2 linked regions of the Arabidopsis thaliana genome follow. The protein of the gene in region 2 interacts with the protein of the main gene of each other region in a biochemical or structural test. Each region holds a gene or a part of one and is shown on either strand. Other genes may lie near its edges.

Region 1 (16,309 bases), on a different chromosome or scaffold from region 2:
GTTTGTAAATTGTTATCTATATGTGGTGATGAGTGCAGTCGGATTTGTCAAAGTGGATGGAGAAACTGTTCATGAGCAATGGTTTTCGGGTGAAAATAGTTAGCTATGAAGAGATTGCTGCAAGTTTAGGTGTGGTATTACATTCACCAGTAAACCATGACACGGTTCTCTTTATCGCACAACAGCTCAAGTTTTCAGATGATCAGGTAATGAATGTCACAACTGGCTAGGTCTCCATTATTACTTATCAACTCAGTGGATTGTGAAATTCTTGCAGATGGAGACATGGAGACAAGAATTTCAAAGAGTAGAAGAAGATGGAGATGAACAAGGATTTGAAGAGCTCTGATGAAGCAAACAAAATGTTTCTTTTATAAATAAGACAAATTACAAAGCAAAACTGTTTTCTTTTGGATCAAAATTTGTGTCTAAACAAGTTTTGAGAATACAGAAATCTTGAGAGCTAAGCTTTGGTCTTTAGCTTGGACTTGTTTTTGCCTTGACCTTTACTGGTTTTACTACCCTTTTTGGGTCTTTGTTTTTGATGGCTTCGAGGGTTTTCGTCATCTGCTTTCTCGTTTGGATTCACTTCCTCAAATTTGACCGGTTTAATTATCACACCAGCTTTCTTCACAACCTGCACACAAAAAGGTTATACGAGGTCAAAAGAAAGGTAACATTTTAATACATGGTGCAATGAGTTTAACAAATAATAAAAAGGAACCTCGGGTCGGTTGAGAGCTCCAACAATAGTCGCAGGATTAAACTCGGGTCCTATAGGCATGCGCATGCTGTGTTCGAAAACTTCCTTAGATGTATATGGGAAAGGTAGAGTCGTTGTATGAAGTTTGTCAGCCTGTCAAAAACAGATAATGTGAGCATGAAGGGATGATTACGAATAGAGGGATCGGGATATCAAGCGAGACACTAACCTTTTTATCGACTTTCTCTGATATGATAACATTTCTGAGACGATAGTCTTTCCTTGTTTTGAGATCTAGCTTTCTCTTTTTATTTGCATCTTCATGTTCTCTAACCATCCATGAAGGTAAACCTCTCTTCTTTTGGACATTGGTCCATTGTCCCCAACCAGGAACTAGAACCGGCTTTTCCGGTTCAGGAACTTCCTGATTTAGAACTTCTTGCTTATCCTTCTCAAATTCTTCTACAACGTCATCACCAGCAAAAGCACGTTGTATAAGCTCTGCTTGAGAAGGGATTTCATAGGTCTCCTTCGAAGCAGATGTCAAAATCCCATCAACCATTTGCTCAGCTTCACTCTCTGAATCTTCACTTTCTTCATCTCTCGATTCCTTCAATGCAAAGAAGTGAGGAGAAGAAAAGGATAAAACAAAAGGTAGGTGAAGTTTTAAGAAATGAAACCTTTTTATCTTGGCCCTTTGAGATTGGTACACGAGTCTTTGGAGCTTTTTTGGATTCTGCATTTTGGGAGCCTTTCATCTACACAACATAGAAAAACAAGTTAATCAAAGATAAACATAAACGGAAACCAAGTCTGATTTGAAAATTGTCAAAGCAAACCTTCTTCCAAGAGCCTGACGCAAATAAGGCAACATCAAATGTTGTCTTAGAAGCTGGATTTTCAACATCACCACAACACTTCTACAAACAAAAAAATTGTTGTCAGGGAGTTGATAAGGAGCAAAGAGAGAACCATTGTGATTAATCGAACAGGAAAACCAATGATACCTCGGTCTCTGTTATGGCTCCAGTGTTTCTAGCAGGTGAAGCAGTATCTCCAACAGCCCCAAGGTCATTATTTTCTATACCTTCCATATCATTGTCACTATCACTGTTGTCATAAAAATTGTCCGAGTCCTTTTTAGACTCTTTTGGAGCTTCGACTTTAGAGGTGGCACCAAATACTCTTCTACCACTAACATCAGCGGATTTTTTAGGATTATCTTCTCCACCAAAATTCTCCAATTCTTTATACTCCCCAAATGCACGTTTAGCTTCTTCATTAGCTTCCTCATTTTTCTTTTTCATAGCACGAGCCTAATCAAATAAAAAACATCAGACAGAGTCTAACGAATGAAGGAAATCCAAAGTAAGATAATCAAAAATGCTTTGAGGAAGTAAAGCAAGAATTACCATGAAAGGTAATGAAAGAAGACCAGAATTGGGTACATCATCATCTTCCATAGTTTTCAGTGTCTTCTCCCTGGCTTTCGCTATCAATTTAGAAGGAGTATCCTGATCTGAACCACAACTCAACTCTTCCTCATCGTCGCTCTCATCACTACTACTTCCATCGTTCGTGGAGTTCATCTTTCTGGACAAAGTAGCATTAATCTGAAGTTGTTCAGATATAGCTGCCCTAGTTCCATCATATCTCTCAGTCAGTCCACGGCTTAACATGCGTTTGGCCCATTTTCCTGTGTTTTTGTGCTTCAAAGTCATCCGTTCCTTCATGACCGCAAACAAGACTATTGTATTACTCGACAGTGTCTTGATGAGAAATTTTGTGCAGGTAGAAGAAATTTTAGACTCACCTCTACTCGTCTAGTCTCCTGCTTAATAGCCTCTTCTTTAGCCATTTCTGGGTCCATTAATGCTCCCATCGCTGATTTCTTCAGGTCCTTCCCTTTAAGGCGATGATAAGTTTTAGACTTAATCTTCTTGATACGTTTACTTTTCAGTTCATGGCGGAATAGCAGGCTCCGCATCTTGGCAATGTGGTCACGGTACTTGATGTGGTCTTCCATCGACACCTGCCAGATCAAGTTAATCGAAAAGGTTACATCAGATATATAAACTATCTTCAAGGCAACCAAAGCCAGGTTTTATTATAAGTCAAATAAGCTGTGTGCAGGAAAAAACTAGAGCACAGAACTTGCCTCATTCAATTCAAGAAGCTTAGCGCCATCTTCTTTGTGAGCCTCCCCAAGCTCGTTATCTTTGAGTACAGAAGCCATTTTCTTCTCAAATTCAGTCCTGGGTTGAAACTCTGATGCTATTGCACCGACTGTAGAATACCCAACATTGACAGGTTGATTAAAGTAAACAGTTGGTGCCTCCCTATTCCTCTTGACCAGATGCACCCACTTATTAAAGTCCTTCTCAACTAGTCCTTTCACAGCTTTCCGCTCTAGTCTTTCTCGTTCTGGCTTAGGCAAAGGTGCATGAACAACAGACTGAGTATCTTTCTGCATCCGGTTGATCCTCTTATTTAGATCGTTAAACCCAGGTTTTCCTTCAAGAGGCGCCAAAAGGTCCTCAACTGAGATGAGGCCTTTACCCTCCAGAACATCACGGGTAGGATTGAATTCAGACTCTGGATACGCTTCAGTATAGAGTACAGGTCTCTTCTTACTCTCTTCTGTAAACAAAAAAAAAAAAAACTTCAAGAAATGCAATGAACAGAAAAGCTAATAGCAAAAATCTGAGAAGAAAGACTCAGTCTTTACCTTGAAAGGCAGCACTTGGCATTCCAGTGAGACCTTGCAACATCCGTGTGTGTCTATCGTCATCACCTTCACCTTCCTCATTCTCGCTGTTTCCACCATCTTCATCATCATCTGACTCCACATTTTCATCCTATATTGAGATCATAGACACTTTTATCAATAAGACATACATATAACAAGGACAAAACAATTGCCAAGACCAGATCTAAAGTTACTATCTCATTACCAATCAATCAATTAAAAACTCTCAATTTTGGATTCACCAATTTGTTATAGCGTAAGAATCCCGATAGCAAAAACCCTAATTGAGCTAAAACCAAAATCTGTAGATTATCTTCTTATCACTAAAGTTCAAAACTTGCAATTTCACACAGTGGCGGAGAATTAGTGAAGAGAAAGAATAAAACCTCGAAATCCTCGGGAAGCTCGTAGTCGTAGTTATCGACGCGGTCATAGCGATTGTTTTTCTTAGACTCTTCCTCAGGCACACCTTCTTCATACTCATACAAATCGACGTTTTCATCGTCGGAATCGATCTCATCGTCATCTTCGTCAGAGTTCAAAGGACGTTTCTCATTGGCAATAGTCTTCAGGATTGAATTAGGCAAATGAGGACCTTTCCTCTTCTTGTTCTTAGCTAGGGTTTTCGAAGTAGATTTTCTCTTTTCTCCCATGGCTGCCTCTGCTTTTTTTTTTTTTTGCCGTTTAGTTTCCGATTGAGATTTTCGTAGGGTTTCTTCTCTTTCGCTTAAATACTAATAAAATCGAGTTTCAGAGAATAAGAATTTCTCAATCATACCAACTAAACCGGATAAAATTGGGTATGGTTTGCGGTTTAGCGTACCAATATACGAGTGAACCGTGCAAAATCAGAGATGAAGGAGTTTGAAAGAAATACAATAAAACGCTGATTTTTGGATAATTAGTTGATGTTCAAAAGCTAATATACATAAGTTTTAGTGCTTGTAGTTGAATTTGACTTGGATCACATAACGCATCTTGATTTGTTCCACATTGTAGACTATATATTCGTTGTACAACAACATCCCCTGCAAAAGTTATATAAAGTCAGTTTATGAAATTTGAGAGAGTTAGATTTTGTGAATGTGTGTTGAAGCAAGACAAAAACAAAAACCTTGGAGCATGAACGTTCCACTGGTTTGCCAAGTGGAACAACAACACCGTCTTCTAGTGTTTGAGCCTCTGATGGGTTTGGTGCTGTTTTCCCCACACCTTTTGTGCTGCAACCATCAAATAACAAATCAAGGTACAGTACAAAAATAGTAAATCATAATTCATTGCGGTTTGAGATAAGGAACTTGTGTGAAATATGAATGAGATTATCTTCATACCTTAGCTTTCCCGGGGGTAGATTATCCGCGTTATAATCTGAATACAGAAGTTCATTCATGTCTCCCAAAGCAACCTAGAGAAGTTTTTATCGTTAGGAAACATAAGGATAGTTATGTTGAATGGCTATAGAGGTCCTGTAGTTATACAGTAGTTTTGTTGTTTTCTATATGAATAGAGACAAGAAGCGAGTATACCTCGCAGAGGAGCAGAACGCCATCATTAGCGCCAGTGTTGGCATAGCAATAGTTCGCACTCTTGGAGAACATATCCGCAAAGTAAACCCCTTTTCCAAACATGTAACCAGTTACAGGCGCTTCAGGAGGAGCTATTCGCAGACCTGCTTGGTGTCTCATAGTTGTTCATTTTACTATGCAATTGAAAATCCCCCAAGAGGAGAAGAAAAAAAGTAGTTACTAAGAGGAAAAAGAGTAACATGTTACCTTGAGATAAAATACCAGCCCAGTTAGTGAGACGTGAACCGTGCCAGAGTAGCATCCTGTTCTTCGAACTTGAAAACTGCCAAGAAAAATTAAAGTCTCACAATGCCAAAAACGAGAAATCAGAATAATGTGTATGGTACTGACAAGCTCGAAATACCATAACATACCTGTTGGAATCGATCAGCTTCAACAGCTCTCGAAGCTCTAAATAGTTGAGCAATCTCAACCGTATATCCCGAATGCGTCTTTGCATGAGTGTTCTCCATGTAATTAGCAACCTGATTTTGGTTTTAAGGAGTAAACACCAAAAGGTTTAAAACACAGACATGTTTGAGATGCTCGAGTATCAAAGATATTTGTTCAAAGTTCACAAAACCGAAAATTTACCATAGAGAACTCCTCTGAATCATTTCCTACTGGCGTCAAACCACAATTAAGTTGCTGGTAGTGATAATATAAAGGATCATCCTACAGCCATTGCAAAAAATAATGTCATATTCTTAGAGAACTATACGACGGAGTGATTTCATGCCTTCAAACCACATAGACTGACTGAATTACCTGCAATCCCGGGTCGACGGACAACAACTTTGTTGCGAGTTCAATCTCACCTAATGCTTCAACCTTACAAAAAAACGATATATTAAAAACTACACAAAACATGTAGCGACAAACCATTGCTTTTCTGAAGACCAAAACTAGTCAAGTAAGGAAACAGTAGGAAAAATTACCATTTCAATTTTCTGTTTCAACTTTTGAGGAGTGTCTATAACAAACTGGCCTGTTACAGCTCGGAATTCAGATGTTAGTGAATGTTTAGTTATATATATCGTAAACCTTAGCACAGATGAACTTACTCATTTTCTTAAAACCAAAATCATGAGGTATCACTGTGTAGAACTCTCTGCATCAATGATAAACAAAGTTAGACTAGTTCAAATCTAATTTCTTTATGGGAAACAGTTACATAATCAACTAAATGCGAAAAATTGTCTAGCAATTAACCAGATACATACCCACTCAGTTCCTCAAGCCTCGTTCTATCATACCGATCAATCACCTCCGATATTCTCTTCAGCACTTCATAACCCTAGACATGTGGAAGAGGAGATTATATCATCTGAAATCACACCAAACTATAATTTACGGAAATGAGACCAAACAGACTGTTTACTATCTTTACCTTTGAAATTGTGGACTTGCTTATCTTGCCGAGTGGCAATTTGTTAGCGTTATATCCTTCAATTCCAAATTTAGAAGATGTATGAAAAATCAGCAAGAAGTAAAGAAACCAGCAAAATGGCAAACAAATGGATAGGACAAAAGATAGGAAGTACAAACGCAGGTAATAGGACACCAAAACAAAGAGATAATGTATCGACATATAAAAATCACTGTTAATCTGCCAATGGATGCTCTCACTTGAATGAAGTGATCAAAGTTAGACTCAAACCTATTTCCATCATATGCTGTGCCATCATGCTGACATTACATATAAGAGAGATGAACTTGGCAACCCGAGTATCTAGTTTTGATTGTTCAGGTTTAACTTCGGAAGATGAACTCGGAATATCATTATTGACCTGAGAAAAAAAACAATCGTGAACTCTGAGTAAAGTGCACATTTGAACGAAGAGAAAAAAAATATATAATTGCAATTAAACGGGAAAAAGAAAAGTAGATATGCACTCAAAAACCTCATTCCAGCAGATCCCTTGGATCATACCACACAACAAATAGTAAGAAGAGAAAGAGAAGTGAGGATTCCAAAACACTCACCGGTGAATCATTTTCCTCTTTTCCGTAATCCATTTCGAGCCATGTATAGGACTTGGGATGTGGGATAAACTCCTTTCTGTCAGACCAATAATTCTTTGTCTTGTCATTGAACTTATTGGTAAATATCTCTATCGCACGATCCCATGAGTCATAAGGCCCATCTAGCTTACTTTGTCCTTTCACACCAACTCTTCCCCATCTGGTGTAAACCATGTATGTCTTTTTACTATCCGACTCTGCACAATGCACAATAGATAAGATAGATCAATGATGATAGTATCTGGAACCAAGAAGAATGACAAAGAGTCATCAAAAGCTGCTTCAAGAGGTTTCCAGTACTCGAACAAGACAAGTATCGTCTCATTAATCTTGGAAAGTAACCAGGGAAATTATTGTTGAAGGTTTTGGAAGACTGACCTAGGACTTGTAGGACAAAGAACTTGTTATTATTATCCCTGACATTTGTCTGATTTAAGATAGCATCATAAACATCATCACCCTACAACATTCAACAAAAAAAGAAACAGTTTCTAACAACATTCATGAACACGATAAGATGCAAAAACTCAAGATTAGGTTCCAAATCCTCACCCTTTGTAGAACATGGTACTGACTCTTTATCTCATCAGGAATCCACTGATCTAACACCGCTGCACCCTTCTTTGTCGCGGTTACGATTTTCTCTTCTTTCTTTTCTTCTTCAAAGCCATTGTTGTCATCTTCAGCTTCATCTGTCCCTTAATACACAATGACAATAACAACATTAAAAAGACTCAATTTTTACCAAATTTCTCAATAGTCCAGAGAATTGAACAAACCATTACTGGATTTGACTGGTGCATTGGAAACGTTATTAGCATCATTGCAAAGCCTCTCAAGAAGATCCTTTTTGGTTCCTGTTGTATCTAAGCCTCTCTTAATAGCTTCCTCACGCAATTCCTTCACAATCATCCCACGAAATTCGCCAATTGCAATCAATTTGTTCGATTCATAAGTATCATTAGAAGAATTTCTTTTCCTCTTGCTCTTTGATTCTTCCTTCTTAGTGTCTTCTGCGATAGCCTCTTCAAGCCTCTCCACCTACACGAAACACCCAATAAACAAATTCGAATATCAACAAAATAGAAAGAGTATTTCAATGCAATTCAGAGAAATACCAGAACGGCTTTGACTCCAGTAGTACTGAGTCCACGCTCGGCGAGTTTTAAACGGAGTTCGTCGACTTTGAGCTTGTTCGCCATTTTCGTCTTCTTCTTCAGGAGAATAGTTCGTCGGAAAGGGAATGAGACTGAGGAAGTATGGTTTTCGTCAGAAGTGAGTTCGCGCGAGCATTTGAAGAGTCTTCTTCTTCGTTTTCTTCTTCATCGATGGCTTCCCTTGAAAGCTTTAGGGCTTTTTGAAAAATTATTTTAAATTTTTTTGACAAAAGTTCTCGTTCATATTTGTGGATATTTCCCATATAACTTTTTAATCTCCAAAAGACCCCAAACTTTTGGATTGATTCTTAAATCCACCCCTGACCTTTTTAAAATAGTATTTATTTCCTACCATTGATGATGGCAAGCAATAGAAAATCATGAAAGATAAAAAAAAAAAGGTTAAAAATCTAGTAACAGGCAAATACTTTGAAAAGGAGTTGAAATTTTGTACATAGGTTTAACTCTTCTATTAAAAGAAACAAAAAATCTCTATGTTTTAAAATGTACTACTAATTTATAATTTAAGAACATTTTTCTGAAAATTTTGCTGGTTGTTTAACGAAAAGAAAAATATACAAATAGTTTTTGGCTGTAATGCTACGCCACTACTCACTTTTCCAAGGACGTGCATACAAATTACCGTAAACGGATTATAGGACTTGTGTTGACTAATGACACAATTCTTTTTTATTAAAAGAGATTAGTCTCCTTGAAGAAAAAGGGACACAAATTATTCGTAACATGTTAATCAAACCAAGGTCTTAAGTGGCTACCAACCGCATACGAGTGTTGAGCCGAGCAGTGCTGTGTCGAGCCGGGCTGGATTTGGCATTTGGAATATATGAAATGGGCCAACAACCCAAAAGATAAAATTTCGTTACTTGGACAGTAAAAACTAAACATGCATGTTTATTAGCCCGTAATCTGCATAATCACAACTTACGAAGAAGACATAAGAATCAACAGGCCCATCATAAAGTGGGACTAACGATTTGGTTTCCACTATTATTTGGCCCATATATTGTTAATATTGTACACTTCAAATATTATTTAGTTAGAAAAAAAAAAAAAAAAACTCTTGTAAAACTGGATGGTTCTAGTTTAGTTTTAAAAAATGGTTAGATGATAACGATATTAATATACGATAAAGTTTATATAAAATATCTTTTCATAACCAAATTTACATGACAACTAACATTCGGGTAAGCCATGTAAAAGACGAGATAGAGATTTTGACCAAAGAAGAAAAGTAGAGAGAACATGCAAAAGCCAAAAAGAAAACATAGCCAAATGGTTGAGTGGTGTAGATGGACCGAACCAACAGACATGTTCTCAGTTCATATACCAACCGCCTAACATTACAGCCTGTCCCCATCCCCTATCTTTATTTTTCTTTTTGGCTCATTTAGCTTCAACTTTTTTTAATAGGTGTGATTAGAACATACTAAAAAAAACATATGTTTTAACTTATATTATATGAATAAAGTGTTGTTTTTAATAGTTTATATTTCTATTACAAGTACAATATATAGGATATTTTGGTTAACAATTTTAAATTTAAAAGATATTGTGAGTACAAATCATTAAGCTTAACACAAATGTTCATTGCTTCTTAATTCTTACAATCGGAAAATTTGGACAAAAAATCTAGACTAATCTCCAAAACATTGTGAAAAATTGGGGGTTTTTTTTATCATTTAAATTGTCTATAGTGGTCAATCATTATTAAAAAAAATTGTTTTTTGTTGAAATTTTAAATTATAAAAAAAAAACACGTTTATACATAAAATGCAAAAACTTTTCTTAAACCAAATTACAGAGAAAGGCTATCACCATCCTTGTCTTGATGCCAACCACACTTGTAATCCCAAAATACATACTTAAACTATACTATACTAACATGAATTGGTTATACGATTATCTATCTAGTTAGCTACATAATTCATATAATTAGTTTTTTAAAATATACTTATGTAATGATAGTAACTAAAAAATATACTATCTCGAGAAATCCAACCAAAATGCTATGATAGTATATAAAATAAAATGAAAGAAAGAGGAACCAAGTTGTGAAACCATTTACCAAGAAGAAGAAGAAAAAAACAAGATGGTCGAGTCTCGTGATAGTATGAAGCTGGGGCCGAAACCACGAATCAAAGAACCATTTGACGATGCAAGTGGTCATCGATAACCAATCAATAGAAACTCCACCGCCTCAAAATATCATAGTGCTATTTAATTTTTCATACTATCATTTATTGTAGGCTATAACATATTTTTGTATTGTAGATGGACGGCTAGTACACGCAAGTTAGTCAATAAACTTTTAACAAATGGCATCTTGACATGCTTAAACACATTTTATAATTCGAACCTCACTTTGCCTACTTTACACACGTCTACTTATAGTAGATGAGCATCAATCATTGAACCGTTCGTATAATACAATTTTTTTTTTGTAATACGTTATAATTAGAAAGTAATGGAAAATAAGTTGAAACACAAATTTTCAACGGTTTTACTAAGATTTAATTTTACAATTTTCAAAATATAACCGAATTATTTAAATCGTATTAAATTTATAATTAATTTTCTAAAAAAAAACACAGATTAAAAAAATATATTAAAACTAATCATAAATATATTAATTTTTGTAATTTATATTTTTTTATAACTTTAAACTAATAATATTCAATTATTTATCTTAAAGTTTACAAATTATCAATAATAACTAATAAATAATGCATAAAAACTTTTTAAAAATTAACTTTTTGAAACAAATTTTTTTCTAAAAAATTAAATAATAAAGAACAGAAAAAATATTATTCAACTAAAAATATTGGATAATAACTCTGAAAGTTTGCATTTTTCAAATAAATCATTGATTTTTTTTGTTTGACATAAAACATTAATTTCCCCTTGTAAATCACACATTTAAAATCTAACTATATTTAAACAAAAAAAAAAAGTCCAATTTTGACTTTAATTATATAAAAAAAGCAAAGCTAATTATGGGTCAAAAGACTCAAAGGCCAGAATTGACGCAGCCGTTTATGAGAAGTGAGAAGACAATTTCGGAGTCACTTCCTTTATTTCCTCTCTTCCTTCACTCTCTCCTATATAAACCTTCCTCTCCTCTTCCTCTCTTCTCATCTCTTCAAACCATTTTCGAAAGCCTTGAGAGAGAGAACACAGACGATACCAACTTTCTTCAATCTCGTTGCCGCAGTATAATTATCTCATTCCTCGGATATATCTCTCCTTCTGCGGCGGCGACAAGAAGCTACAAGAATAAAAAGTCTGTTTTCTCTCTTTTCAAGAAACCACTTACTTCGAAAATGGCTCGTTCTATCTCTAACGTTAAGATCGTATCTGCTTTCGTCTCTCGTGAACTCTCCAATGCTATCTTCCGGTAAGTCTCTATTGTTCTGTTTTCTACTTTATGCTCTGTTTTTTTCTTGTAGTTATGCTCTGTTTTTTTCTAAACGGTGTCGTTTTTTGTGTGATAACAGACGTGGTTATGCGGCCACGGCGGCGCAAGGGAGCGTTTCGAGCGGTGGAAGAAGTGGAGCTGTTGCTTCGGCTGTGATGAAGAAGAAGGGAGTGGAAGAATCAACCCAGAAGATTTCTTGGGTTCCAGATCCCAAAACCGGTTATTACAGACCCGAAACCGGTTCCAACGAGATTGACGCGGCTGAGCTACGAGCAGCTCTCTTGAACAACAAGCAGTGATTGATTATTATTACATGTAATTTTGTCAAGGTCTTTAAGAGGAGATTAGTGGGTAATGATCTGGTGCAGTGAACCCTATTTTCATATGTTAAGTGCGGTTCTGTAATGAATAAAATAGAGAAGCGTTTGGTTTCCTCTAATTGTAACAAAAGGATCGTTGGATGTATGATAGAGTTTTTCTTATAAAACCATTTCAGAACTTCTTAACTGATTACAGAATTCTGATTATAGAATTCTGTATGATAAATTTATTGCTTAACGTTTGTACAAACGTCCTATATGACAAAACCATTATTGGTTATTTTGATTCAGAATCATAATGTAACTATAGGTGATGAGTAGGTATGATAATTTTCTTTGTATCGTTCCAATTTGATTGGCATACGAAAATGTTCAAATATCGTATGTGTGTTTTTTATAATTATAATCTAATTAACGTATGAGATAACGTATTAAAAGGAATGTAATGATGAACAATTGGACTTTTAAAAAATATTGGCATATAGCATAAGCATAGATAAGCATTAGGAATTCATGGTAGTGGATCAACATATAAAGCTTCTTAATTATATGGTTTTGTTCCTTGCATGGATATAACCGACAGAATCATGTCTCTTGACTCTTGGTTACTACTAATTGTTAGTAGTAATAGATTATAATTAGTGGCAGTGCATTTAGCAACAGGTACTTGACATAGAAATCATTTAATAATGTAGTTAATTAACTTAAATCAGTTTTTAAAGACATGTTTTGTACCTCTGGAGTTTCGACCGTTCCTGTTACTATATTTTATACTACAAGTGTATGTTAGGTTAATAGGTTTAGTAGACATCTTAAGTTGAACTCTTCGTGTCCATCTCTAATCACACATTGATCAATGATTACAAAATATTTTAGTTATTTAGTTACTTTCTTTAGTGAGGGTAAACTATTAAATCTTTGTCTTAGTGAAGTATTTATTTCACACGTCTAAATGAGACCCAAAGATCAAACCACACTTTTGATTCTCTCTTCTTCTCTTTTTCTGTCCTGAATCCTGATCCTCTTATTCATTCCTTTTTTGTTTTCATTCTTACACAAGGTATATGGAGAAAAGGAACAAAAACTATTTCTTATGTTTTTGGAAAATTAATTCAATCATCATTGATAAAATAATTTCAAAACTAGTATTTAACAATATCTAATCTATATGAATATATTTGGATAAATCCATTTTCAAATTAAAACCTAAGAAAAAAGAGATATTTGAAGGCGAAGTAAAAGAATTCAAAAGGGCAAAGAAACATAAGACGTGTCCTGTCTTCTTTTGAAGAGTCAATTATGCTCAAAGGCTTTGAGACTTGAGGGAGACTTATTGACAGAGGGCAACTTGGTGCATCGAATCTATTAGCATTGAATTTTCTTTTACTTGACTATAAAATGCATAAATAATTGAGTCATCTCTTTTGTTACATGTTCCTTTATTCTTTTGAGTTGTTTGCCAATTCGTATCTAATCATTTCATATAATCATTATTTGCATATTAACAAGTCATTTGGATGTAGACATACTAATTCTAGTAGTTCAAAAACAATGGAATAGAAACTATAAAAAGTTGGTATATTCCTTATACTTAAAGATAAGTTTTCGCACATGTTTAGATAACGACTAGACATAAGATGATCCTACATCCCTGCGATTTGTAAACATACTGAAAAATTTGGCAAAACTAAGTCAGCCTTTAGTTTAATACCTAACCCTAATAACGTATGTTTGTTATAGCTTCATAATACCATGCATTGAAATTAGAAAGACAAACGAAAAAAGAAGTTTGAAAATATTTTACGAGTAACGTTAACTTATGTTCTAGAACCTTTTAAAGGCTTAATAAATGCTAGATATTTCACGAGAAGAAAATAGTTGTTTTGTATTATACCATGTACTAATTTAAAGAAAGAAAAAAAAATCGTTACCAAATAATGAATGTACGTAGTGTTATTTTCATACTGCAAAAACTATTGCTACCTGTAAATTCCTATGCGTATCAGAAATATACATTGGAGTTGGATGAACAAGCTTCGTAGACTTTCTATATTCTTTTCTTCCAAAAGTGAAAAGTCATCGATAGTTGACTATTTTTGTTAATTTGATATTTCTATTTAGTTAATGATCTTTTGCTAGACACGACTTCTATTCGATGCCTGCATAATTCGTTTGACAAGGACATGTATAAGGTGATGCCTCCCACAGAACTGTCTCATTACGTCATTACCATTACTAGGTCGCATATGGTAGAAAGAACGAAATTGTTCTCTTTACTGCCATCAGTATCAACTCTCAAGAGCTCGACGTCACCGGTTTAAAAGGACTTAACCGGAAATAAATGTTTGTGCACATTCGTTGATTTCCTATTTGTCCTTTCAGATCCATTGACGAATGGTTCACGACCAAAACTGTAATAATAACGTAGATGTATGAACTATGAATCCTTACGAGTTACGGGGATTAAGTTTAAGCATTAAAGGCCCGAAACTATAACCGGTTATTCGATCCATAACCCGGTTCAGTTGAATTAAGCTTTTAATTTAAAACCTTTCTTCTCAAAAGCCCACCAGAAGAAGAAGAACAAGAATATTACCTAAAATCTCCATAACCCTCTTTTTATGTTCTAGTCAGCAATCAAATATTACCTTACACAAAAGAATGTGATTTATAACCTGTAATTCAATCTACATTCAAACGGTAGACATCTATCTCAAACGAGGGGAATCAGTATAGCTCAGAGTTATTGTGACATTTCCCATTTCATGTTACTATCTCAATTCTCAAGCCTATGAAGGTTAGTAAATCACATAGACCAATATCGATCATCGACACAATGGTATGATGTATTATAGGAATCAGTGTAGATCTTCAAAGAACCATGATCTAATTCCTCCCAAAACAGATGAAACATTTCACAGTTACCCCAAAAGCACCAGACTCTACCAATAAAATCTTCACTACATATCTCTAACATCTGCAAGCTAATTCTCTTCTCACCGAAGAGTAACATCCGAAATCGAATGATCGATAGATTCTATTCTACTAACTGCAGCTCAATCCTATCCAAGATCAAATATCTCAATCTCCAAAACTAGATGGCTTCTAACCTACTAACTGCAGCTCCATCCTAATTCCCAGCACATCCAAACCAAATCAATACAAATAAGGAGTAAAGGACCTTATGAACAAAAATGAAAACATTCAATCTAAGATTACAAATGTTCACTTCACAATGTTCACATCTCCCTTCAGTATCTTTTCTTTTCACCATTACAGAACTTGAATCCAATAAATAGAACTAAAGTAAACAATTACAAATTCCAGACACTACGCTCATATTATTGGACAATACATAAAAGATGCGATCTTTTCGAAAGGTAAGATTTTTTGGGGACAAATTACAAAAAAAGATTGTACCTTTTTCAATTTCAAGACGAAGAAAGAAAAGGGATTCTCTCAATCATGTCCAATTTCGAATCCTTGCACTCAAAGCCACAACCACACTGAGGCGATTCCAAAAACTCTTGGATCGCGAAATTCGCCGATGTGATCCCAACGGAAAACTCCATCTCGTCACCGTTTCTAATAACCTCGACGATGTTAAGCCACAAGAACAAAACTTTGACTTTAACACCAGTCAATTTCTTGAGCTTGTTCTCGGAGATGTAACCACTGATTGTTGATTTGTAATTCAATTGGTAAGAACCAACAAGATTGAAGCTACATGAATCGTTGAAATACGCATGGAATTTGCCTGTTGTTGTGTCTAAATCATAAGCTACGACTCCTTTTGGAAGGATTCCGACGGGGAAGTTGTAGCTTTGGAGGAGTGAATAAGCCGTCGGAGTATCGGATTCGGCGGCGGTGACGACGGCGGCGGTGAGTGAAGAGAGGAAGAGACACGAAGCGATTAAAATCGGGAGACGAGACATTTGGGTTTGAGGAAACACACAAATCGTAGAAGTAAGAATCCAAAGATTGGATTTTTGGTTTTTTGATTTCTCCGCCTGTGGATTTTCGTTTTGCCGTCGTAGACTTTTTGTAATAATGGTGGTCGTTGAAAATATCTTTTGTTAGATATAAACTACGCCGTTTTAGGTAGACAACTGGACACGTGGTTAGTTTCTACAGGCAGTCAGGTTGTAGTGATAAGACAAATTTTTGGGAAAAGTTCTCTTAGATAATCATGAATTAAATTTTATCAAGACATTTGTTAACAAAAAGACAAAAAAAAATTGTATATAATTTAGACTATGAATAATGATATAGACCATACTCAAAATTGCACCGCAACAGTATTGTAACAGTATTAAAATCTTTATATATATATATATATATATATTTTCGTTAT
Region 2 (15,732 bases):
GTTGCTTCAGAATGCGTCTGTGATTGGTAACTCGGAGGAAGAAGTGGAAGAAGAGGATGATGATGGGGACTGGGAAGCAGAGTTTCTCGGGGAGATTGATCCGTTGGATATTCAACCTCCGAAGAAGAGGAAAAAGCAGAAGAATTCGAAAGCGCTTGAGGACACTGAAGGGATGGATTGGTGTGTAAGGGCAAGGAAAATTGCACTTAAATCGATTGAGGCAAGAGGGTTATCTTCTAGAATGGCGGAGGTGATGCCATTGAAGAAGAAGAAAAAGAAAAAGAGCAAGAAAGTCATTGTAAAGAAAGACAAGGTCAAAAGTAAAAGTATTCCAGAAGATGATTTTGATACCGAGGACGAAGATTTGGATTTTGAAGATGGATTTGTGGAGGATAAGATGGGGGATCTACGGAAGAGAGTTAGCTCATTAGCTGGTGGAATGTTTGAGGAAAAGAAGGAGAAGATGAAGGAGCAATTAGCTCAGAGGCTATCCCAGTTTTCAGGACCTTCTGATCGTATGAAGGAAATCAACCTGAACAAAGCTATAATAGAAGCACAGACTGCTGAAGAGGTATTGGAAGTAACTGCTGAGACAATCATGGCTGTTGCCAAAGGTTTAAGTCCATCACCTTTGTCTCCTTTAAATATTGCTACTGCACTTCACCGAATTGCCAAGAATATGGAGAAAGTTTCAATGATGAGAACTCGTAGGCTTGCATTTGCTCGGCAAAGAGAGATGTCAATGCTTGTTGCTCTTGCAATGACATGTCTACCAGAATGTTCAGCTCAAGGCATCTCAAATATTTCTTGGGCATTATCCAAAATTGGAGGTGAATTGCTATATTTGACAGAGATGGATAGGGTTGCAGAAGTTGCCACATCAAAGGTGGGTGAGTTCAATTCTCAGAATGTTGCTAATATTGCTGGGGCGTTTGCTTCCATGCGGCATTCTGCTCCAGAACTCTTTGCTGAGTTGTCAAAGAGGGCATCTACTATTATCAATACCTTTAAGGGTCAAGAGATTGCTCAACTATTGTGGTCATTTGCCTCACTTTATGAGCCAGCTGATCCTTTGCTTGAATCTTTGGATAGTGCATTCAAAAGCAGTGACCAGTTCAAGTGTTACTTGACGAAAGAAATAACAAACTCTGATGAAGTAGTGGATGCTGAAGTAAGCGATGATGTTTCAAGATCTCCAGCACTTAGCTTTAACAGGGACCAGCTTGGAAACATAGCATGGTCTTATGCTGTTCTTGGGCAAGTGGAGCGACCTTTCTTTGCCAATATATGGAATACTTTAACCACCTTGGAGGAGCAAAGGCTTTCAGAACAGTATAGGGAAGATGTCATGTTTGCTTCTCAGGTGTATCTTGTGAATCAGTGCTTGAAGCTTGAGTGCCCCCACCTTCAGTTGTCACTTTGTCAAGAACTCGAAGAAAAAATAAGCCGCGCAGGAAAAACCAAAAGATTCAATCAGAAAATAACCTCATCGTTTCAGAAAGAAGTTGGACGCCTTCTTATAAGTACAGGGCTTGATTGGGCTAAAGAACATGATGTGGATGGCTACACCGTGGATGTTGCTCTGGTCGAGAAGAAAGTTGCTTTAGAAATCGACGGGCCAACTCATTTTTCAAGAAACTCTGGTAAGTGACATCACTCTGTTTCTTAATATATATTGGTGTCTGGTGGAGCCAACCCAAACTTAATGATCATTTCGACTCTTGTGTTCTACAGGACTACCATTAGGGCATACAATGCTGAAGCGGCGATATGTTGCTGCTGCTGGATGGAAAGTGGTATCTCTGTCTCTTCAAGAGGTGGGTCTATAACGTTGAAAAATGGAAACTGATATAAAATTGAGTTGCTAGGATAAGAAATTGTCTCCATTTTTAGAATACTTGTTCTGTTCAATAGTAAAAAGATCTCACATGCTCTTGCATAATTGATATGTTTTCCCATCTCAATCAGGAGTACATACTGAACATGTGTTGACTTTGTTTTTATTATTTTTAGTGGGAAGAACATGAAGGCAGTCATGAACAGCTAGAATATTTGAGGGAGATTCTCACCGGCTGCATATAGAGAAGACAAGTAACCAAACATGTAATGTGTTGTCATTTTAAGGTTGTTAATCAAGTGTTCTTTTCCGTTATGTATATAGCTAAGATTCTTATAGTAGATTGATGATTTATGTTTAGAGCAATAATCATAATTGAAATCCATTTAAATTTTACAGTCGCCATTACAAATTTCTGCCAAGATTGTGTTCATAGTTATTTCGTATGCAACAGGAATCTAGGAAATATAGATAGAAGCAAACAATACATATTGAAACACTAGTGCTTGATCTGGGACAACATGGTCCTGACATCTTTACTGTTCGGCCTCTGTTTTGGATCATCCAAAGTACAGTAACAGGCGATCTTCAGAACCAGAAGCATCTGTTCATCGAATCCTTGATCCATCAACTTCGGATCAATCGCAAGGCTAGGATTTTCCGATGTTATTATGTTCCTCATCCACTTTATCAGACTCATCTCGTCAGTATGCTGAAAAAACTCATCTGAAGGAAGCTTCCCAATCACCAGAATCCCAAGAATCACTCCAAAACTATAGATATCACATTTATCTGTGAACTTGTGGGTTTGATAAAACTCTGGTGCTATGTATCCCACAGTACCTGCAACATGCGAGGTTGTAATATGTGTGACTGCATCTGGCATTGCCTTTGCCAGTCCGAAATCTGAAATTCTGGCTTCCATGTCATCATCAAGAAGAACATTGGCTGGCTTTAAGTCTCTGTGAATGATTCGTGGGTTATGATCCATGTGAAGGTACTCAAGCCCTGCAGCTATACCTAAAGCAATCTTGTGCCTCGCTGGCCACATTAGTTCTTGATTTCCAGCTTGTACGTCAGTCAATATATCTTGCAAACTCCCCTTTTCCATGTACTCGTAAACGAGGTAGTGGCACTCGGGTCTTGACACGTGTGCTAACAATGGGAGAAGATTCCGGTGCCGGATATGGCCGACTGTGTTGATCTCGGATCTAATTTGCCTCATTTTCTTGTTCAGAAACTTGGAATCTTCATCTGTTAGTTCATCGGCGTCTTTAGGCGGTTGGATCACTTTCTTCACAGCTATGATCTTCCCATTGCTTCCTGGTAGTTCAGCTTTGAAAACTTCTCCACAACCTCCTCTTCCTATGATCTCCAGAGAAGCTAACGCTTCTTCATTCTCCAAGAAAGCTAAATCTTCAGCTTTCTTGATCAATGGGCTGAATATGGAAGGACCTGGTGGTTTTTCTGATCCTCTTATTGCTTGAATAATCAATTTGAACAACACCGAGAAGACAAACCCAGAGATTGTTCCTCCTATGGCTCCAACGACAAACCCTAAGATCCATGCCGCTACTTTCTTCTTCTTGCTCTTCTTCTTCTTCTTCTTCAACTTCCCTGGTTTTGGAGCTCCCTTTGGAGCTTTTGATGTAGTGCTGTTGTTGGGTTTGTTCGTGGGACTTGAAGTTGGAGTTTCAGCAAGAATGTGTCTTGTTTGATGTGGAGATGTCTGAAGCTTGATACTGCTCATAACCGGAGCCGGACCTTCCAAATACCGGTTTCCGGAGAAATCAAAGAACCGGAGATTGTGGAACGACACAATTTGTTCCGGGATTTTGCCTGAGAAGAGATTGTTTGCAACAGAGAGATTCTCCAGATTGCGTAGATTCTTCAAGAAATTCAAGTTCCCGGATAACTTGTTCGAAGAGAGATCAAGGATTCGAAGACGGCTCAAACTAGAAAAGTTTCCCGGAATCTGACCGGAAAATCTATTTTTCCGAAGATCAAGAACTTCAAGTTGCTTACAGCTTAAGATATCCACCGGAACAGCGTTGACCAACTGGTTATTAGACAAAGTAAGTTCCTTGAGCTCCGACAACATTCCGATGACCGGAGAGATAGTCCCCGTCAAGCTCCTGGATCGGTAGACGAGCCTCGTGACACGGAGAACGTATTCTCCGGTGGTGGCAGAGTGCCGTCTCTCGCAGAAAACTCCTCGGCGACCGCAAGGGTTGACATCACTGGCCGAAGAACGTTGACTGTTGACTCCGAGCTCTGTTTCGATGACCTGAAGAGCTTTGAGATCTGAGGAATCGATATCGAGCCACTCAACAGAGGAGACGAATGAAGAGAGAAGAAGAAAGGAGAGAACGGCGAGGATGAGAGGCCGGAGAAAGAGATTGGCGCTTCCCGTGGGAACAGCCATTTTAATTAGAGAAAGTTTCTTCTTGTGGATGTTGTCGGAGTCTACACTCTGTCTATTTATGGTCAGCAACTGGTACTAATCTATTGAGAAATCTTTACGTGTTTCGTGGTTTTTTTTTTCTTCTAAAACTTTATTTTTGAAGTGACAAAATATATTTGACCCAAAAAAAATAAAGTTACAAAATATATTCACAAGTTAATTTCTTAATATTGTTATACACTTATACATATAATTGGTAAACTTAAATTAACAGTTTGAAAAATTTATGGTTTGTTCAAGGGATCCATCCAAGCCCCGGTTTCATATCGAAAAAATGGGGTTTTCTATTGCTAGTATTTTATTTGATTAGTTTGATATTAATGATAGATTACTGAATTCTTACATAAGATCTCCTAACAAAATTGTATTTTATATTATGATATTTAGTTATCAATGGTTTTGGAGAAACATTGATTCAGCGTATACTTTTTGAATTATTTGTATATTCTTAATAAGAGTTCTGTTTTTAATTAAAGTCTAAAGAAGAAAAAACCATTATAAAAACTGATAATCCTGACCTGTGAAATGGGCTAAATTGTACATTTTTTTTTTGATTTAAATTCTTCCAGGAAGTTTTATGGGAAAATAATAAAGTAGAAAATGTGAATATAGAAAGTTGCAAAACTGTATTATTGATATAGCGAATTTTGTTATTGACTTGACTATGTAAGCGTTGATAAGTCAAAGTCTACGCTGTGGGTTCCATAGTGAGCCACCGTTTCCTACACGTTAGAAAAAAATAAATGTTATGTTACACACACCTTCTATTTTCCAGTCACTTTCTTTTAGCGTTTTCCGTCAATACGTTCGTTGTCTGTATCAAGATTCCAAACTGGTGAGTGTGAAATAACTCGAAACTGGCTTTTAACTTAAAATGAGTTAACCAGATAGCTAACGAGGATGTTATTGCCACTAAACCAATACATTACCGATATGGTTCAAGTTCCAACTTCCCGGTTCTACAAAACCGGTTTGCCTTTCGCCTTCGCACTCTTGACTTTTTTAGATTTTTTACTCCGGGACTTGAGTATCTTCTAGCGGCAGCAGAATCTTGTCGCAGAAGCGATTCGTAAACCTGTTTCAAAAGCAATTGAGAACAGCTGTGAGATTAGAAAAATCGAAAAATGGAGAATCGCGAAGATCTTAACTCAATTCTTCCGTACCTTCCACTTGTAATTCGTTCGTCGTCGCTGTATTGGCCGCCGCGTGTGGTGGAGGCGTTAAAGGCAATGTCTGAAGGACCATCTCACAGCCAAGTTGACTCAGGAGAGGTTCTACGGCAAGCTATTTTCGATATGAGACGATCCTTATCTTTCTCTACTCTCGAGCCATCTGCTTCTAATGGCTACGCATTTCTCTTTGACGAAGTAATTATCTCTTTTTAACTTTATGGTGATTGCTTTTGGATTTGAGTGTATCTTCAAATCGAATTGAGTAGTGGAACTAAGTTTTTGGTACTCGCAGTTGATTGATGAGAAAGAATCAAAGAGATGGTTCGATGAGATTATCCCAGCATTGGCGAGCTTACTTCTACAGTTTCCATCTCTGTTAGAAGTGCATTTCCAAAATGCTGATAATATTGTTAGTGGAATCAAAACCGGTCTTCGTTTGTTAAATTCCCAACAAGCTGGCATTGTTTTCCTCAGCCAGGTATTGATACAAAGTGCTATCTCCTACATTTGAGCTAAAGGTGTTTTTTTGGTTCTATTCCTGACTCTTGAGTAGTGATTTATGGGGAGGAAATTACGTCGAATATACATGTGTTCTTACTGGATGATTACCTTGTGTGTTGAAGATATAGTCTCTATGGATTCTTGCTTTTCTTACTGGATAATGACCTTGTGTTGAATATACATGTGTTCATACTGGATAATGACCTTGTGTTGTTGAAGATATAGTCTCTATGGATTCTTGCTTTTCTTACCTGTCCGTTCGAACTTCAATATTGCAGGAGTTGATTGGAGCTCTTCTTGCATGCTCTTTCTTTTGTTTGTTTCCGGATGATAATAGAGGTGCAAAACACCTTCCAGTCATCAACTTTGATCATTTGTTTGCGTATGTTACCTCTCTGCTTTCTCTTCTAAACCTTTCATAGTGATTAAGCCTACATTAGTCTGGTCTGGAAGAAATGCCTAATGTTAAAATGTCAGTCATTTGGCTTAAGTCATGAATGATCAAGCACGTATGTGAAAGAAAGGGAACCTTTAATATGTAATTTATTGACATTCACACTCGAGAGTGAGAAAGCAAATCCGCTAGAGAGCGCATATGGGCCTCAGTCTCCATTGGGAGTTCACTAGTTAGACTTGGATTAGCTTGTTGTGAGAAAAACCACATATTTCTATGATTCATTGGCTATCATGTGCATGTGAAGATTTTAATTCTGAAAATTCTTGTCTACCGTGCATTGAGTAAGTTTCATTTGGATTCTTGGACTTCGTATGCCCACAGTCTGATATCCGAGTTTTACTTGCTTTTCAGAAGCCTTTATATAAGTTATAGTCAAAGTCAAGAAAGCAAGATAAGATGTATTATGCATTACTTTGAAAGGTTTTGCTCCTGCGTGCCTATTGGTATTGTTTCATTTGAACGCAAGATTACCGCTGCTCCTGATGCTGATTTCTGGAGCAAGTCTGACGTTTCTCTTTGTGCATTTAAGGTGACAAATATTGGCTTGTGGATTTCTGTACCTTGTAATATTAAATCTGCAAATGCTTGTACATTACTTTTTGCTGACAGCTTTATTGTTATAGGTTCACTCTTTTGGGTTAATTGAAGATCAACCTGACAATGCTCTCGAAGTGGACTTTGCAAACAAGTATCTCGGAGGTGGTTCCCTAAGTAGAGGGTGCGTGCAGGTTTGAGATCATATTACATTTTAGATTTCACAAGCATACATGATTCTTGAGTTCATTTTTTTTGTCAAAAGATCTATTGTAAATCAATGGTTTAGGATTTTTCATTGACTTCCAATTGGATTCTTGTCCAGGAAGAGATACGCTTCATGATTAACCCTGAATTAATCGCTGGCATGCTTTTCTTGCCTCGGATGGATGACAATGAAGCTATAGAAATAGTTGGTGCGGAAAGATTTTCATGTTACACAGGGTGAGATTTGGTAGTTTTGTAGCATTGGTCTGTGTTTATTTAATATATTGGCTGATAAGTCTCTGTATTTTGATACTTTTACATACCAGTAGGCTCGTTTCAGATCAGTTTGTACAAATCCTGATTGAGGCATGTTGACAAATAGTAAAAGAAATGTACGTCTAGATTATTGCTTATATTGTAGGTGTGCTTCATAAATAAGGGTGATAACTATGTATTGCTGACTTAGAAATGGCCGATAGTAGTTGGCATCTAAATTATCAAGTTTTGAAGAAAGGTTAGTTATTTGTAGTTATTTACCTTTTTTTTCTATGATTTTTGTTTCTACCTAGGTATGCATCTTCGTTTCGGTTTGCTGGTGAGTACATTGACAAAAAGGCAATGGATCCTTTCAAAAGGCGAAGAACCAGAATTGTTGCAATTGATGCATTATGTACACCGAAGATGAGACACTTTAAAGATATATGTCTTTTAAGGTATGTGAAACCTTCTTTTGGGGATTCATAGGTTTTTCAGACAATCCACAGTTTGTGTCTATACAACATTTTGGAGTCTTGCTACTAAGTTCTTTCTATACTCTTCTATTCTCTTTCCACGTGAAATTTAATGTCTCCTCCTCTTTCTGCTTTTTTCAGGGAAATTAATAAGGCACTATGTGGCTTTTTAAATTGTAGCAAGGCTTGGGAGCACCAGAATATATTCATGGATGAAGGAGATAATGAAATTCAGCTTGTCCGAAACGGCAGAGATTCTGGTCTTCTGCGTACAGAAACTACTGCGGTTGGAATCATCCTACAAACCTTTAGTACCTTTTTTCATTTGTAGCCAATTTGAATTAGCTTTTGAAAAATAATGTTTCAACTTTTTTTGTTGTTCTCTACTGTTTCTGATGCAGTCACACCGAACTCCACTAAATGATGTTGAGATGAATAGAGAAAAGCCTGCTAACAATCTTATCAGAGATTTTTATGTGGAAGGAGTTGATAACGAGGATCATGAAGATGATGGTGTCGCGACAGGGAATTGGGGATGTGGTGTTTTTGGAGGAGACCCAGAGCTAAAGGCTACGATACAATGGCTTGCTGCTTCCCAGGTGCTTTTATACATCATCAGCTAAAAGTAATGAAATTATTATTTTCCTGGAGTATACAAGTTGAGTACCAGTAGGCCATAAGAATAAAAACATATAGATCTTTCTATGAAACCACAGACTTAGTCTGTTTTGACTGTAAGAAACACTCCATTGTCACTTTTGACTTAATTTTTCTAGAATGAACCAAAGCTTCGACTTGGATGATGAGATATATAGCGATTTTCATTTGATGCTTCTTTCTTAACTCGGTCATGGCTATATTTCAGACTCGAAGACCATTTATATCATATTACACCTTTGGAGTAGAGGCACTCCGAAACCTAGATCAGGTAACCTCCGATACTCTTTTAAACTTCACAATTCTAGAACCTCTCTTACAGTGTCTTCTTTTTCTCCACTGACATTTTACTTAGAATTGGGTTTGTAGTAAGCGGATAGAGCATCCAGGGTATAGTACTTTTAAGGTCGTCTGTGAACATATCTTGATTTTGAAACTGATACATACTCTTACAAGGATAGGTGACGAAGTGGATTCTTTCCCATAAATGGACTGTTGGAGATCTGTGGAACATGATGTTAGAATATTCTGCTCAAAGGCTCTACAAGCAAACCAGTGTTGGCTTCTTTTCTTGGCTACTTCCATCTCTAGCTACCACCAACAAAGCTATCCAGCCGCCTTGACTCTGCAAATTCTCCTTCATTAACTTGTTTGATGCATTCTCATACTGTATCTCTGCATTTTCCCACATGGGTGTGTAAAAGTGATTATTTTCCTCTTACAAGCTTGAATCCGTTGTAAGCTCGCCAGTTCTTGACCTCAAGCGTAATTAGTTTAGTGCGTTTGCTGATTTATGATTTTGGTCAAATGTTTGAATCAGGCTTTTGTTTTAAAGAAAAAAGTTCTTTTTGTTTATCAGTTGAAATTACAGGGTTATGCTGGAATCTTCTGGGAAAGTTAGTCCGGGAAAAGTTTATGGTCCACCAACATTTTGTTGTCAAGAGTAAATTTGACTCGGTCTTTCTGGAAAACGTGTTCCTGATTGACTTTGGTGCCATCTGTTAAAAAGAAAAATCAAATGGGTTTCTTTGTCCTTAAGCTACCAACGGACTAAGTCATATAGAGATACAACATCAAATGTCCATATCCTTAAATCATTTGCAAACTTTCATCTCCTAAGTTTTCTAATCTCCTTTTCAGGCAATAAGGATGGAACTGAGGGCAGATCTTAGGTCAATTCTTCAGTATTTGCCTCTTGTGGCTCAGTCTTCATCACTAGTTTGGCCACCTTCTGTCGAAGAAGAGCTCCAAACAATATCTAGAGGACCGAGTGAGTCAATGGTTAACTCGGGAGAGGCTCTTGCCTTGCATATCACGAATATGCGGAAATCTCTCTCCTTGAATGCATCTGATCTCGCCCCTTATGCATTACAAGGGTATGGTCTTTTCTTTGACAAGGTAACAATTCCTCTGTCCTTCTTTCATCCACTTTCTTAGTGTTTTGTGTTTTTCTTATTCATTTTACTCTTAGGGGGAACATTTGTCATGGAGCATAAAGTACTCACAAAAAAATTTCTTCTTGTGATGCAGAAAATTTCCAGAGAAGAGTCGGCAAACTTTTTTGGTGAGGTGGTTCCTGCATTGTGCAGATTACTTCTCCAGTTACCTTCCATGTTAGAAAAACACTATCAGAAGGCAGACCATGTTCTTGATGGAGTTAAGTCCGGGCTTCGTCTATTAGGCCCTCAAGAAGCTGGAATTGTGTTACTTAGCCAGGTATACTCTTTCAGTCCAAACAAAGACATGCCTTGTGTTGCATTGAATTAAAGATTGATATAGTAACTGTCTAGTACTCTTTGTAAATGAAATTTTGCTTGATTTTTGAAACCAAGCTTCGTTCCTTTATTCTTCAACTTTTTCACCCCTTGATGTATTTTGCTACCTTCTGCAGGAGTTGATTGCAGCTCTTCTTGCGTGTTCCTTCTTTTGCTTGTTCCCTGAAGTTGACAGAAGCTTAAAGAATCTTCAAGGAATCAACTTTAGTGGATTGTTTTCGTATGTGTCTTCATCATATTTCTTAAAAGTTACAACCATATATGCCCCAAAGTCACAAATCTTTCTTGTGTTTTTTTAAGGTTTCCGTATATGCGTCACTGCACGAAGCAAGAAAACAAAATAAAGTGCCTTATCCATTACTTTGGAAGAATATGTCGATGGATGCCCACCGGCTTTGTTTCATTTGAGAGGAAAATTCTTCCACTGGAATACCATCCTCACTTTGTTTCTTATCCCAAGGCTGATTCGTGGGCTAATTCTGTCACCCCACTTTGCTCCATTGAGGTATCATAGAAACACTCCTAGTTAAGCCTTCTTCGCCGTTGAATCCATTTCTTTCAGATGATTCATGAGTATGCTTTAGGTTATTCTCCTTTTGATCCATTTTTTATTGGAGTAGATTCACACCTCGGGAGCTATAGAAGATCAACCTTGTGAAGCTCTTGAAGTAGATTTTGCAGATGAGTATTTTGGAGGCCTTACTCTGAGTTATGATACTCTACAGGTCTGACTTGTACTTCCTTTTCTTCCATCTCTTCTAAAAACTCTACTATCTCATCCACTAAATAAGTTATAAGTTTTTCTTATTTCAAAATATGTTGAACATGTCAAAATATACCTATGTAGGAAGAAATAAGGTTCGTGATCAACCCGGAACTTATCGCTGGCATGATCTTTTTGCCTCGTATGGATGCAAATGAAGCAATTGAGATTGTTGGTGTTGAAAGATTTTCAGGTTATACAGGGTAAGTACCAATGAACTGAAGTAGATGTGTTTATTGGGTCTTCAAAGTTGATATTAAGCTTATTATATAGTCTTCTCTCTAAATCCAACTCATGGTGGCTCCATTCAGGTATGGGCCTTCGTTCCAATATGCTGGTGATTACACAGACAACAAGGACTTAGACATTTTCAGGAGGCGAAAAACAAGAGTCATAGCTATAGATGCCATGCCTGACCCAGGAATGGGACAGTACAAACTTGATGCCCTCATTCGGTAATCAAAACTTGTCTTTCAGCCAGTTTTTCATTCTTTCCTTTTTTTTATTTTGTTTGTGAATTACTCAATTGCTCCTTTTGTTTCTGTAGAGAGGTTAATAAGGCTTTTAGCGGATACATGCATCAATGTAAATATAATATCGATGTTAAGCATGATCCTGAGGCATCATCTTCGGTAAGACCACAATTATGCTCCATACATGAATTTAGCATACATGTTAAGCATTTTGTTTTTCTTGACTAGACCAAGATTAAATTTGTTTTCGCAAAGCAGCATGTTCCTCTTACATCAGATTCTGCGAGCCAAGTTATAGAAAGCTCTCATAGATGGTGTATCGATCATGAAGAGAAAAAGATTGGTGTAGCTACAGGGAACTGGGGCTGCGGTGTGTTTGGAGGTGATCCAGAACTAAAGATCATGCTTCAGTGGCTTGCCATTTCACAGGCATGCTTCTCTGTTTTCATCAACTTATCTTACAAAACATAATTATCATTCTATTTAACTGCGAAAACAATCTCGATCTACTTTCTCTAGTCAGGAAGACCCTTCATGTCATACTATACCTTTGGCCTCCAAGCCTTACAAAATCTCAATCAGGTTATTAGAATCCTAATTTATTAAACAATGAAACCACTCTTTCTCCCATTTCAACACTTTAAAAACATGCTCTATACATATATGTGTGGGTGTTCTTTCAGGTGATCGAAATGGTCGCTTTACAAGAAATGACTGTAGGAGACCTATGGAAAAAACTAGTTGAGTATTCTTCAGAGAGGCTCAGCAGAAGAACATGGCTTGGCTTCTTCTCGTGGCTCATGACCTCACTGTCTACCTAGAGTAAAAATTGAGTCAAAGTTATATAAAATACTATTCTTGTCTGAATTATGGGAAATGTATTATCCATATCTCTGTTTGTTTCTGACATATTAAGTCTAAAGCGTTAGATTGCTAATCCATTGTAGTGAAGTCAAATAATACTCATGATATAAAGTCTTTATGTAATTTGGTTAGTTCCAATCTTACGAGGATTATATATCTTGTGAAACAAAGGTAAGTGGGAAATAAAACTTGCCAAAAACAAACATCATCCGTTCAAACAGAAAGGAACGATATAGGGAATGAAAATCAGCACACTCTAAAACAACAGCACTCAGACTGTCTACACTAAGACCATTAACTAAAAACCAGTACTCAGAAAATTGAGTTTAAAAGACCAAAAAATAAAATAACACCTAGATAAAAAGAACAAAAATCCTAAAAAACCATCTTCGAGAGTCTGAAGAAAACTACTTGCAAGGCATAAAAAAAACCAAAAAACCAAGAGAAACTAATCACATAACATAGCTGTTTTTGCCAGGAAGTGACAACCGGAGCTCGAGGTCCAGCTCTGTGTCCGAGACTAGTGAGCTCCTCCTATTTGCCTCTTGTGAAACCTCGAGACAAGTCGTCTCCTCGGACACTTTAGCCAATAAATTTAGGCACTCCCAATCATTATCTGCATGAACTGGAAGTATTCTGTCACCCTCTTCTTGAGCATCAGCATGAGATATATATAGCTCGTCAGAATCTCTAGTAACAACCGGAGGCGAAGATGGAGTTGGAGCTGGAGCCAGAAGGATAGCCAGAGTTGGAGCTGGAGCTGGATCCAGAGGAACAAGAGCAATATATAGCTTGGCTAGGGAGTGGAAGGACCAGAGCCGAATCCTCTGGCCTTCAATTAGAGTGTTATCGGAGACGACCTTTTTCCATCTTGAAGCCAAGACGTAAATGGAAGTGGACCTCATATTCCATCTCCTGAGATTAAGCTCAAGTAACTTGTCCACGATGTGGCACATACAAGAAAGGTTAACCCACATTTTTGAATGGCTTCCATCATTATAGATTGGACTGGGCGTTTCTTCGGTTCCTTTCGGTTCTTCTGTTTCAGCCCCTTAGAATCCATAAGGGATATATCTAGGCCCTCATGTAATCTCTCCAGAGCTGGTACTAGAACCGGAAATATGCGCACCATCATTCTATGTCCAATCCATTTTGTTGTCTCTTACTGTCTTACATTAAATTATTCATAAAGCTTCTTTAATCCTTTCTTATGATTTCAAATTTCAAATAGCAGACCGAATATATCCTTTGAATAATTGATTAATCAGAGTGGTGAGCTGTAGAAGACATGAGTTTGTCTGAATAATCCTTTCCACGTTTCTTGATCTCCAAGGAATGATATAATAATCTAATCTCTATAGTCAGATATAAGAACATGAAAGTCAACTGTGTTCGTTAGGTATCTATATATCTATGTTTTGTATTTCATTCTTCAGAAAGAAACCTGCAATCTCAACTTGAGAAGCAAGAGAACAGAGCAATGGAGAAAAGAGAAGATCTTGATACAATTTTACCTTACTTGCCGTTAAAGATTCAAGATTCGTCTCTGTCTTGGCCATCAACACACTTGGTGGAGGTTTTAGAAGCTATGACCAATGGACCAAGTCACAGCCGAGTCTATTCGGGACAAACTCTCTCTGATTCCATCTCTCTTATGAGACAAGCTCTCTCTTTGACTTCTCATCTTTCTTCTTCAGCACTTCAAGGCTACGCTCTCTTCTTCGACGAGGTAACAAAAAAAATCAACATTTTATTTCATCCTTTTCCGTTTTTTGTGGACTGATTCAGTGAAAAATGTATTGGTTTGGTGTAGAGAATGTCGAAAGAAGAATCAAGCAGATGGTTTAACGAGTTTTTACCTGCAATGGCTTGTCTTCTTCTGAGATTCCCATCTCTCTTGGAATCACACTATCTAAATTCAGACAATCTCATCAATGGAACCAAAACCGGTCTTCGTGTCTTAGTCCCCAACAAAGCCGGCATTGTGTTCCTCAGCCAGGTATATCTTCCGAAGTCCTAACACTTCAATACAGAAACAGAGTTTGAAATCTCGAATTTCATTTTTGTTTTTGGCCATGGCAGGAACTTATAGGAGCTTTGCTTTCATGTTCTTTCTTCTGTTTGTTCCCTGTCGATGATAGAGGCTCAAATCATCTTCCAATCATCAATTTCGACAAACTATTCGGGTATACATTCTCAAACAAATTTCATTTTCAAAATCAAGATTCAAGATCTGGTGTTGACCTATTGCAGGAGCCTAATCAACACGGGAAGAAATGAGCATCAAGAGAACAAGATAAAGTGCATAATTCATTACTTCCAGAGGCTATCTTCAAGTATCTCTCCAGGGTTCGTCTCATTCGAACGAAAGATTCTCTCTTTAGAACAAGATTCTTCTACTCTTGATGAAGGGTTTTGGGGAAAATCTACTGTCAATCTCTGCCCTGTTGAGGTAATGAACTAACCAGATGAGATATTCTCTTGGCTCCGTAAAGATTTTGTGTTTAATCTACAGTTTTCAATGGTGTAGGTTCGTACTTCTGGTTTGATCGAGGATCAAAGCGTAGAAGCTCTTGAAGTTGACTTTGCCAACAAGAACTTAGGAGGTGGCGCTCTTCGCAAGGGATGTGTCCAGGTATATAAAACCCTAAACCTAAACTCCTTTTGATCTTGTGAAGTTTTTCTGATGTGAATAGTTTCTTGATAAACACAGGAAGAGATTAGATTCATGATCAATCCAGAATTGATCGTTGGTATGCTCTTTTTACCAACCATGGAAGTCACTGAAGCCATTGAAGTTGTTGGTGCAGAAAGATTCTCTCTTTACACAGGGTACATGGTTCGATCTGTACTTTTGAGTTATACAATGTGTGATTCTGAAAAAATGTTGTTAAAATGGTGTTCTATACACTCTGTAGATATTCATCTTCGTTTCGGTTTTCCGGTGACTACATTGATACAAAGGAAACAGATGTTTTCGGAAGGCAAAAACGAGAATAGTAGCCATAGATGCTCTGCGACACCCAGGAGTCTCCCAATACAAACTTGAATCCCTCCTCAGGTAAAGTTGAATCATAACTTCTTACAATTGTCAACACTCTTATTATAAAAGTGTTCTAATCCTTTCTTCTTCAGGGAGACCAATAAGGCTCTATGTGGTTTCCTTCACGTCTGCAAGAATCAGAGCAACGGGCAGTGTATAGATCATGAAGATGGGGTCGGTGTCGTTACAGGGAATTGGGGATGTGGTGCTTATGGTGGAGATCCTGAGCTCAAGTCTCTTCTTCAATGGCTTGC

Evidence for each region.
Region 1: of the proteins of TEJ (region 2) and PARP2, one has a biochemical effect on the other in vitro, tested with the Arabidopsis thaliana proteins (one study listed by BioGRID).

What each region holds. Positions count from the first base shown.
Region 1 is NC_003075.7:1,042,039-1,058,347, reverse strand, and holds PARP2 (poly(ADP-ribose) polymerase), read right to left. Parts: upstream 8,583-16,309; 5' UTR 8,245-8,582; coding exon 8,161-8,244; exon of another isoform or gene 8,084-8,160; coding exon 7,822-8,083; intron 7,741-7,821; coding exon 7,595-7,740; intron 7,503-7,594; coding exon 7,421-7,502; intron 7,240-7,420; coding exon 7,004-7,239; intron 6,808-7,003; coding exon 6,678-6,807; intron 6,464-6,677; coding exon 6,408-6,463; intron 6,315-6,407; coding exon 6,241-6,314; intron 6,129-6,240; coding exon 6,082-6,128; intron 6,006-6,081; coding exon 5,956-6,005; intron 5,849-5,955; coding exon 5,786-5,848; intron 5,693-5,785; coding exon 5,612-5,692; intron 5,503-5,611; coding exon 5,392-5,502; intron 5,301-5,391; coding exon 5,225-5,300; intron 5,122-5,224; coding exon 4,979-5,121; intron 4,858-4,978; coding exon 4,784-4,857; intron 4,673-4,783; coding exon 4,567-4,672; intron 4,481-4,566; coding exon 4,388-4,480; 3' UTR 4,162-4,387; downstream 1-4,161. Other genes in the region: AT4G02405 (S-adenosyl-L-methionine-dependent methyltransferases superfamily protein), read left to right, coding at 39-206, 278-349; AT4G02400 (U3 ribonucleoprotein (Utp) family protein), read right to left, coding at 464-637, 725-856, 933-1,313, 1,384-1,461, 1,543-1,623, 1,711-2,019, 2,116-2,430, 2,517-2,735 and 3 more; SAG21 (senescence-associated gene 21), read left to right, coding at 11,256-11,614, 11,715-11,934; AT4G02370 (pectinesterase (Protein of unknown function, DUF538)), read right to left, coding at 15,387-15,890. UniProt on the Arabidopsis thaliana protein: Involved in the base excision repair (BER) pathway, by catalyzing the poly(ADP-ribosyl)ation of a limited number of acceptor proteins involved in chromatin architecture and in DNA metabolism.
Region 2 is NC_003071.7:13,543,450-13,559,181, reverse strand, and holds TEJ (Poly (ADP-ribose) glycohydrolase (PARG)), read left to right. Parts: upstream 1-5,338; 5' UTR 5,339-5,425; coding exon 5,426-5,668; intron 5,669-5,765; coding exon 5,766-5,951; intron 5,952-6,252; coding exon 6,253-6,356; intron 6,357-6,782; coding exon 6,783-6,960; intron 6,961-7,054; coding exon 7,055-7,159; intron 7,160-7,290; coding exon 7,291-7,409; intron 7,410-7,741; coding exon 7,742-7,885; intron 7,886-8,044; coding exon 8,045-8,189; intron 8,190-8,304; coding exon 8,305-8,502; intron 8,503-8,768; coding exon 8,769-8,831; intron 8,832-9,021; coding exon 9,022-9,183; 3' UTR 9,184-9,246; downstream 9,247-15,732. Other genes in the region: RAP, read left to right, coding at 11-1,643, 1,735-1,817, 2,014-2,082; SOBIR1 (Leucine-rich repeat protein kinase family protein), read right to left, coding at 2,337-4,262; PARG2 (poly(ADP-ribose) glycohydrolase 2), read left to right, coding at 9,710-9,958, 10,091-10,276, 10,452-10,555, 10,636-10,840, 10,956-11,060, 11,183-11,301, 11,410-11,553, 11,646-11,730 and 3 more; AT2G31862 (B3 domain protein), read right to left, coding at 12,888-13,412. UniProt on the Arabidopsis thaliana protein: Poly(ADP-ribose) synthesized after DNA damage is only present transiently and is rapidly degraded by poly(ADP-ribose) glycohydrolase. Involved in establishing period length of the circadian oscillator.